Linked DNA regions of Danio rerio. The protein of the gene in region 1 purifies or fractionates together with the protein of each later gene. This does not show direct contact. Links are inferred from orthologs where the notes say so. Each region holds a gene or a part of one and is shown in the gene's direction. Other genes may lie near its edges. The genes, in order: max and cbx3a.

The links.
Region 2: the proteins of max (region 1) and cbx3a purify together in Homo sapiens (affinity purification with mass spectrometry; 3 studies listed by BioGRID and IntAct, with this or other methods). This does not show direct contact. The link is inferred for Danio rerio from reciprocal best matches to the Homo sapiens genes MAX and CBX3.

The regions. Positions count from the first base shown.
Region 1 is NC_133195.1:31,576,304-31,580,629, reverse strand, and holds the start of max (protein max), read left to right. Parts: upstream 1-1,401; 5' UTR 1,402-1,509; coding exon 1,510-1,545; intron 1,546-1,874; coding exon 1,875-1,901; intron 1,902-4,326. UniProt on the Homo sapiens protein: Transcription regulator. Forms a sequence-specific DNA-binding protein complex with MYC or MAD which recognizes the core sequence 5'-CAC[GA]TG-3'. The MYC:MAX complex is a transcriptional activator, whereas the MAD:MAX complex is a repressor.
Region 2 is NC_133194.1:22,210,296-22,214,589, reverse strand, and holds the start of cbx3a (chromobox protein homolog 3a), read left to right. Parts: upstream 1-1,256; 5' UTR 1,257-1,455; coding exon 1,456-1,458; intron 1,459-2,181; coding exon 2,182-2,321; intron 2,322-2,704; coding exon 2,705-2,873; intron 2,874-2,983; coding exon 2,984-3,078; intron 3,079-3,968; coding exon 3,969-4,095; 3' UTR 4,096-4,294.

The DNA.
Region 1 (4,326 bases):
GCTGGATAAGTTGGCAGTTCATTCCGCTGTGGCGTCCGAAGGAAATTAATGTCTAAGCCGAAAGGAAAATGAATATGTATGAATGAATGAATGAATGAATTTCATATTCCTTTATTATAAATTTTAAGGAAATACTTTTGGTGTATCAAAAAGTGTTTATGATCCATCCGACAAGCGAATCCAGCTAAAAATAGTGCTAAACATAATAATTAAATAGAAAATAAGGCGATAACTGCAAAAAGGTCCACATTTTGAGAAAAAAACAACCACCTCTTTCATCAGGCTGCTATGGGCCTGCTATTAAAGAATCAGGATCAGTTTTATTTTGAAATGCATTATATAGTTTTCTATGTTATAGTTTTCTTCTGAAATGATCTGCTGTATTTGATCTAGATAATTGATTAAAATTACAAAACTAAATACTTTTCCCTTATAATTTAAAGTTGAAACAACTGTCTATATAAAGATTTATTTTTGCCCGATCACAGTCATAACAACAGCAGTTGTTTGTTAAAGGGTTTTAAATTATTAATATTAAAGTATTTTCAGTAATCTCTGATCACACTATTGATAACAGTATAAAGTAGGCCCACTACTAATGAATCAAAATTGTGTTTTCTAAGACACAGCTTTATACTGTTATGAATAACACCATTATTAGAGAATCAGGATCAGTTCTGTTTTAAAATGAGATATGTTACATTAAATTTGTCATGACAACAAGTTTTCCTCTGAAATATTTTGTAGCTACAGAATTATTATTATGCTTTAATACAGCTGTGATAAAACCACCACATCCATAATAATCAAAATAGCCAAAACAACATTGTTTTTATTCTCCGGGTTTTTTTTATATAATTGTTATTAATAAAGTATTAGCAGAAACTGACATCCAAACCGTGCTGTTTTTGTTTGTTTATTTCTGTCATTTTAAACTGTCATCAAGTTCACATTTAAAGTAGGTCGTTAGAGTAACCATGTTTCTGTGTTTTTATAGCTCTGATAAGAGTACTAAAACAAGAATATTACCAATGGTCTAAATATTTTTATAGTTTGCAATTACTCACAAATATGCACAGTATTAGTGACCCACGTATTAGTCACAAACAACGCTGAGCAATCTCCACGTGTCTTGCTGGTTCCGAGACATGTAAATGAACTACAATTACCACCTCCCATTGCCACCATAAGGGCTTTCCTTCAACCCCATGTAGAGACTCCGCCCAGAAAAGCTGTCTGGGTGTTGTAGTCCTACACAATAGTTCCGTGGTTACATCCACCGACTGCGTAACTTAAACAAACGACAAGTCCCACGATGCTCTGCGGCGCAATCACAGACGTGACACGCCACGGTAAATGTCCGTGTGTAGGCGAGTCACGTGTGGGGAGTCCGTTGATCTCGTTTCGTGTAAGCAGTGAATCTCTCCTGTTTGTTCATTTGATTTGGGCCCCGTTTCATGTTGTTTTCAAAACAACATTTCGTGTAGATTTATCTATCTTCGCCGAAGAATGAGCGACAACGATGATATCGAGGTCGACAGTGATGTGAGTATAGTTATTTTTGTTTGTACTCTGCATGTTTGAAAATGAAACCTCTTGTATTTTCGATACTTGAGCCTCAATACGGGGCTAGCCTGCTAGCTAGTTAGCCAGCCAACCTAGCGTTTGAAATAATTTCCCAGCCAGTTTATTGAGAATATCCAGCCAGATAAGCGATTAAACACGGGGGTCGAGTCTATACTCGTCTCCGTATGTGTACATTTGCGATTATGTGTAAGTTACTAAAACAGTGTATTGCATCCATCAAATAGCCAGTTAAGTATCACTCTTACAGCTGTAGCTACAATTGTACTTTCTGTTCTGTTTTCTTACAGGAAGATTCACCGAGATTTCACGGTGTGGTGCGTAATAAGCGGAGCAATTAATCCAGTTTAGCCTTTAATGCTGAAAATATCTTCTCTTTTTGAGATTAGCTACCATATATTTCCGGGTAGGTACTGAACGCCGACTGATTTGCATCGGTGGAAGACAAAACAATATAGGATGATGCCTTAAAAGGGGGCATGGATGTGTTGGATTCGATGAGCACCGGGGTCTGCTTGTTTTGGGTGGTTCGGGGAGCTCTGTGCTCGACAGCAGGGCACTTGCTGCAGGAGGGAGGGAGGGACGTTGGCTGAGCGAGAGCCGCAGCCACACTGCGAGTGCGCGACGCGATAGCCCAAAAGCTCGCGTCGCAGAAAGCCAGCAGCGAGATCTCTGTATCCGAGCATTCTGCTGTGTCGTGACGCTCGCAGTGTGTGTGTGGCGCAGTAGTTAGACGATGGAAATATACGACGGCAGGGTTATCATTTGAAATCTATGGCTTTAACATCAATGGTGTCTTGTTTTTGTTAGATCAGACCGTATATGAATAAATAAGCAACATTAAATATTAATACTGAACCTATGGAACATCCCCCTTGCCGATTTCCAAAGACATTTTGTACATTGTTTATACTAAATTGTCAATGTACGGATAAATTATTTTAAAATGATAGTAATACACATATCTTTGTTATATTAAAAAAAGGGTTTAATGGGGATTCTGTGACTCTTATTTTTCTAAATTAGAGAAATCTTAAATTCGTAATGGCATTGGCATTAATGTTGAATGTGCTTAAACATGTAATATCTAAACAAGCAAAAATGAATACATTTAATTTACTTTTGCAATAAATTGAACAAGTCAGGTTATGCTTAAAACAACAACAACAAATATCTGTCAACAGGGAACGAAAATTGATGAGTTGATTTTTTGAGCTCAATAAGCTCAAATGTTTGCTGTTTTAATCATAAGCTCACTTCATTTTGATCCATTTCAGGAATTTATATCATGTCATTTTGTTTCTTAAGTAAATATCTTAGTTTAAAGATCTTTCCATATTTTATCTGCAAAACAAGACGACAATACTGAGGATAAACTAAACTTTTAACAGTGTGATGAGAACATATATTTTCTGGTTAGTGGAAATCTAGTTATACTATTTGTTTTGTAAAATGATTAAGTTGTATTTTCAAATTGTGTTCACTGTCAATTTAGAGAAAATGTTGAGTTGACTTATGTGACCCTGCTACACTAACCCAGTCTTATGTTGCATGTCAATATCATTATATGGGTACATGATAAATGTACATTATCAATATTTATTTTATGCTACAATTCATTACAATATTGAGTTATTTAGTAAATATACCATAAGCAAAACTAAATTTTTGATAAGTACTGTGCGTTAAACTTGAAACTCAGCTTTTTTTTTAACCCCCAGATTACAGATGTTTAAATTGCTGTATGTTGGGCAAGTATTGTCACGGACACCTCATTAGTTCAGCTTTCAGATAATGCACGAATCTTAATTCCCAAAAACGGAGACATGTCACTGGTTTTGTGCTACAGGGTCACATATTGTCTTTTTATAATTAGATTTTTTATTTAGTCAAAGTATTAAAATGACCTTCATAAACCTGCAGAAAGATTGTGGTAAAAGTTTGGAACAAATGGAGTTCACGATGCAGTATTAATTCTTTTAATGGGTTTTTAATTACAAAAATTTCCAGTCTGATCAGTGACTTTTGAGAGAAGTTGGTTTGTCATGCTTTCCTTACATTACTCATGCATTTGCAATAGCCTTTAAAAAACAACACAAACAACAGCAAAGAAAACTAGGAACATTTCTTATGATATCTTATAATCCAGATACAAATTAAGTGCAATAATCTTTAGATTTTGTAATTAAAATTAAAGAGAAGCATTTGGTGTAGAACCTTGTCGTTTCCTATCCAAAAAAACTGATAATTGCAAATTTTAAATGAGCTTGACAGATGAAACTGTCTCTGAAATACTGGGCACAGCATAAAATGGTGTGTTAAATTGAGCAATTTGACCATCAAAAGGTCATAGGTCTTTTGTTTTGTATTTATTTTTACAATACATCAGCGTTGCTTTCAGGAAATTAGATTTAGGTTTCATTTTCTGGAATAGTACCACAGTCAGTTTTCTACTAAAATGTTTATGTTCTGTCAGTGTGGTGAGAAATCGAGCCCCGCCCCTGCAATCGAGTTTGCATAGGACCCTAATGGATCGTCTACGTTGAATGCCTGATGAAAAGTACTTTCTATAAACTATTCTCAGTCTTGAGATTTTAACAAGACTAATCATATTAGTAACATTATTATCGGTAACTCCAAGTTAAAGTATTTAATGATGTCTTTTTGATATCTTTATGTATTTATATGTAACATTATATATTTACATTAGAAGTGGTAGCAAGTCGTGGGCTAAAATATATC
Region 2 (4,294 bases), on another chromosome or scaffold:
ATAGATGTTGATCCAGGATCAGATCGTACTTGGCAAAACCATGATGTGCGTATCTCGTCATCCTCAACTTCCTTAACCATGCAAGTGTAATAAACGCTTGTGTTTTTTGTTGCAAAGTTATCTATGACAAAGTCTCCCAAAGACAGATTTGTGTTTCTTGGACCACTACTCTCATCCTTAGAGCTCATTTCATCAGACACATTATCAACTAAGACAGGGACATCATTTTTCCCAGAGCTGCTAACTATGATTTTGTTTTTGGTTGCTTTCTCTTTTTTTTTTTTTGATTTTTCCTTTTATTTGCTATTCTTAAGCTTTTTGTTTCTTTTTTTTGGTGTTTTTTTTTTTGTTTGTCTTTTTTTATAGGCCTTTTCAAGTGTCACACGGTTTCATTTGGATTGTGTTCTGGGGAGACATTTGAGAATGGTAGCATTTCATGAAGAGACATGTATCCAGGTTGGCTAGAAACACATGGCACATCCATGTAGACTATATGCGCACTGAATGGAATAGCATCAGTTAGTGAACTATCTGTAAGTGGATCATCTGCAGGAAGTAGATCATCCAAATCTTCTGTAGTGCCAGGCTGGAGCTCAGGATTTGCCTAGTCTGACACCATGAATAGTGCAAAATGCTTTATCAAGGAAAATTTCCCATGGAAAAATTCCAGTGGACCTAAATCCAGAAGTGATGTTGCGAAGTGTCACTGCTCGTTTGAAGGCCTCGTTCACAAGTCCTACAATCTGGTAGACTAAATTTAACTTGTGCCTAATGTCTCACTTTACCCCACTGCCACATTTTAGAAATTTTTTTTTTTTTTTTTAGCAATTCAGACTAATCTTGAGCTAGCATACTCACATCGTTTTATATGTTGGTAGTTCATGCTTTCCAAAGCACCAGGAATTCCTATTATTCATGGTAAAGGAGATATGGAAGGGGCTTTAAAACAAAATTGTTATAGAGTGATATATAAAATTCGTTGCCTAGATACAGGGGGTATCTCACATTACCCCGTTCTCCCTTTGTTGTGTCATGTTCTGGATGTAGTAGGCAATAGGCTAAACATATAGAGAATCTGTTTTAGAGATCTGTTTAATGAGTGAACACTTAAATTGAAGTTAAGTGATACGGTGTATCTCTCAAAATAACTGAATCGAGATGTTTTGCCATGGTAATCTGCGGATGTGCTTTTGAATTCACAGGCGCTCCGCCCAACGTAAGACTCATTGGATACACGTGATTGCTCTCAGATAGGCGTGGCTTTACGTCCTCGCGTTCGATTCTGGCTGGCCTTCGTCGAGCCTCAGTCGGCTTTTCTTCTTGATTTATTAGTATCAAGTAAGTAAAACTTTTAAAAGTGCGTACTTCGTTGGCGCGGGAGCAGTTTCTGTAAAGCCATTTGCAGTTCAGAAGGCGTGAAGATTTGTTATCCAAGTTTTTATCTTATCCATTGTCATGGTGAGTTTCGCGCGCATGCCTCTCGTGCTGCAGCACCGTCCATTGTAGTTTGTTGTTTGAATGCTGCAGTCTTGTTTATTTTAGCTTATTTTTGTAAATCTGCTTTTAAGCCCTTTAAGTTGTTTCACTTTACAGAAATGTAGGATGCATATTGCACAATGTTTTGTAACGTCGCGATGTTTTGTCTGTTTCTGTGAGCATTTCCTGCTAGCAAGTTGGCTAACGCGGGCTACTGTAAACCAACACGTGTTTCAGCAAATATTAAGCGAACAATATTTTTTTGTGGAAAGTTATACGTTCACGCGAGCTGTGTGTTCGCCGGGAAATCTTAAACCGCTATAAATTCGAGTGGGAAGTTTGAAACGCTTTCAGGGCCCTTGGCCTGTTCATGCATGCGCAGTTACCATTAGCTCGCTAACATTCAAGCACACTTAAAAGGCACCACATACTAACGCGTTTTTAACCCTAGGCTAGCCGTAAAGGCATCACTGGATTTGAGAACCCCCCTAGCATATAGTATCATTTAATTTCTTAGTAAATGGGCAAACATTAACGTTAGCCTTTTTACTATTATATTACAAGTCATAAACAGTTAAACCTTTTCGTTTGTTATTTTGATACAAAAAGAGCAGAGTCTTAAATTTTTAACATTTTAAATTTAAAGTACTTGAAATGAATGATAAGGTCTGGTTTATGATGTCATTTGTGTGTGTGTGCATTTAGGTCAACATGGGTAAGAAGCAGGCAGGCAAGTCAAAGAAGGAAGTTCAGGAGATTGAGGAGTTTGTGGTGGAGAAGGTAATGGACCAGCGAGTGGTCAATGGAAAAGTTGAGTTTTTCCTCAAGTGGAAAGGCTTTACAGAGTGAGTACTTCGTCTCTTTTGCAGCTATGAAAAATAAACGGAATTGTTTTTGCATATATTTTGATTTGTGAGTGTAGCTGTATGCTATTAGATTGTAGGGGAAAATGACTCTCCATCAGGTGGTTCCAGTTTTTAATGATTTTTTTTTGAACACTAAAGATAATATAAAGCAACCTGAAAACCGGTAACCATTGATTTCTACAGCAGGAAAAGCAAATACTGTGAAAGTTAATGTAAACAAGTTTCCAGCTCTCCTCAAAAAACATGATTTGTGTTCAATGGAAAAAAAATCTAACAAGATTGGAGCAAGTGAAGGATCAGTAAATTACAATTTTCAGTTTTTAGTAAACTATCTCTTTAACAAGGTATCTATGTTTCCTCAGTGCTGACAACACTTGGGAGCCTGAAGAAAATTTAGACTGTCCAGAGCTGATCGCCGCATTCCTTGAGTCTCAGAAAGGAGTGGTGGAAAAACCAGAAGCTGTAAAAAGAAAATCATCCACTGATGAACCAGAGACAGAAGAGAGCAAGGCAAAACGAAAGAAGGAAATGGTAAGATGTTGTGTTGGTCATTAAAATATCTAGCAGATGTGATGTTTTTTTTAACATTGGTTAAATTTGCTAAATCTAAACTAATATTGTTTTTTGTTTTTTTACTGTAGTCTGACAAGCCTAGGGGTTTTGCAAGAAACCTTGAACCAGAGAGAATCATTGGGGCGACTGACAGCAGCGGGGAGCTCATGTTCCTCATGAAGTGGTAAGAAACTATTGTGGTTTTGTAATTGATTTAGAACATGTTTAGCTGAGAAAAAATAGTGGGGGAAGTCTTGATCTTGTTTTGAATCTGTTCAACTTCTACAAGTCATACTATATGAAGAATATTTGAAACCTATTTTAACTTGGTAAATAAAATGTTTGTTTGTTTTGTATGAAAAACAATCCACAAAAGAAAGCTATAACGTTTTGGAATAACATTTGAGTTCATTTTAAAGATTGTTTTAAAGGCCTGTAGAGGGCAGCAGTCCCACGCATAAAACCTTTTTATTAAAAAATAAAGAGGCTTACTGGAGGGCTCATTGTGTCGGCTTATTTTTATTCAGGGTTTCTGCAGGGTCTTAATGTCTAAAATCCCAAAATAAAAAATGTAGGCCTTAAAAGTCTTACATTTACTCTGTGTTGTAAGTCTTGAATGTTTTTTTTAAACAAGTCTTAATTTTCCTATGTTCGTGTATTGCTAGCCAATCTGGTCAAAACTCATACAATCACCAACAATCCATCTCAAATTTCTATTCAAAAAGGTAGTTTAACTTAAATTTTTAATTTGTGTAGAAGTGCTCCACGTGTTTACTGCTCAGGACACAATTATTTATATATAATCAAAGGTGTATGGTATAATTTTTTTTTTTTTTATGAAAAAAAAATAAATGTGTGTGTGTGTGTTTGAATCCATATCCATATTTTAAATTAAACTGACAAAATACATTTGTTTTAAAATCTAGGTTTTCAACATCCCTTCAATAAAGCATCCACAAGATAATTTACCTCATTTGCAATGCAGAGGTCATTGTTTTGAAGTGCAACACTGTACTTCCTAGTCTAATTGTTCTGTTTGGTCTCTAGATAAACTTCTTTGTCTTGTGTTTACAGGAAGGACTCTGATGAAGCGGACCTGGTTCCCGCACGAGAGGCTAACACCCGTTGCCCGCAGATAGTTATTGCTTTTTATGAAGAAAGGCTAACTTGGCATTCTTGTCCTGAGGATGAGCAGCAATAGCATCCCACATTTCATTACAACTTTCTGTGTTGGTGTCTTCCACCTGTGCTGTGTTGATAGCCTGTCAGTGGAGGATTCTTTTTGTTTTGTTTTTTCAGTTTATTGAAGATTTGTCTGGAAACTATGTGCATGACAGTAGTCAACCAATGAACGTATGTACAAATGAGATGAGTGTTTTTAAAGTTACAATAGAGGACGC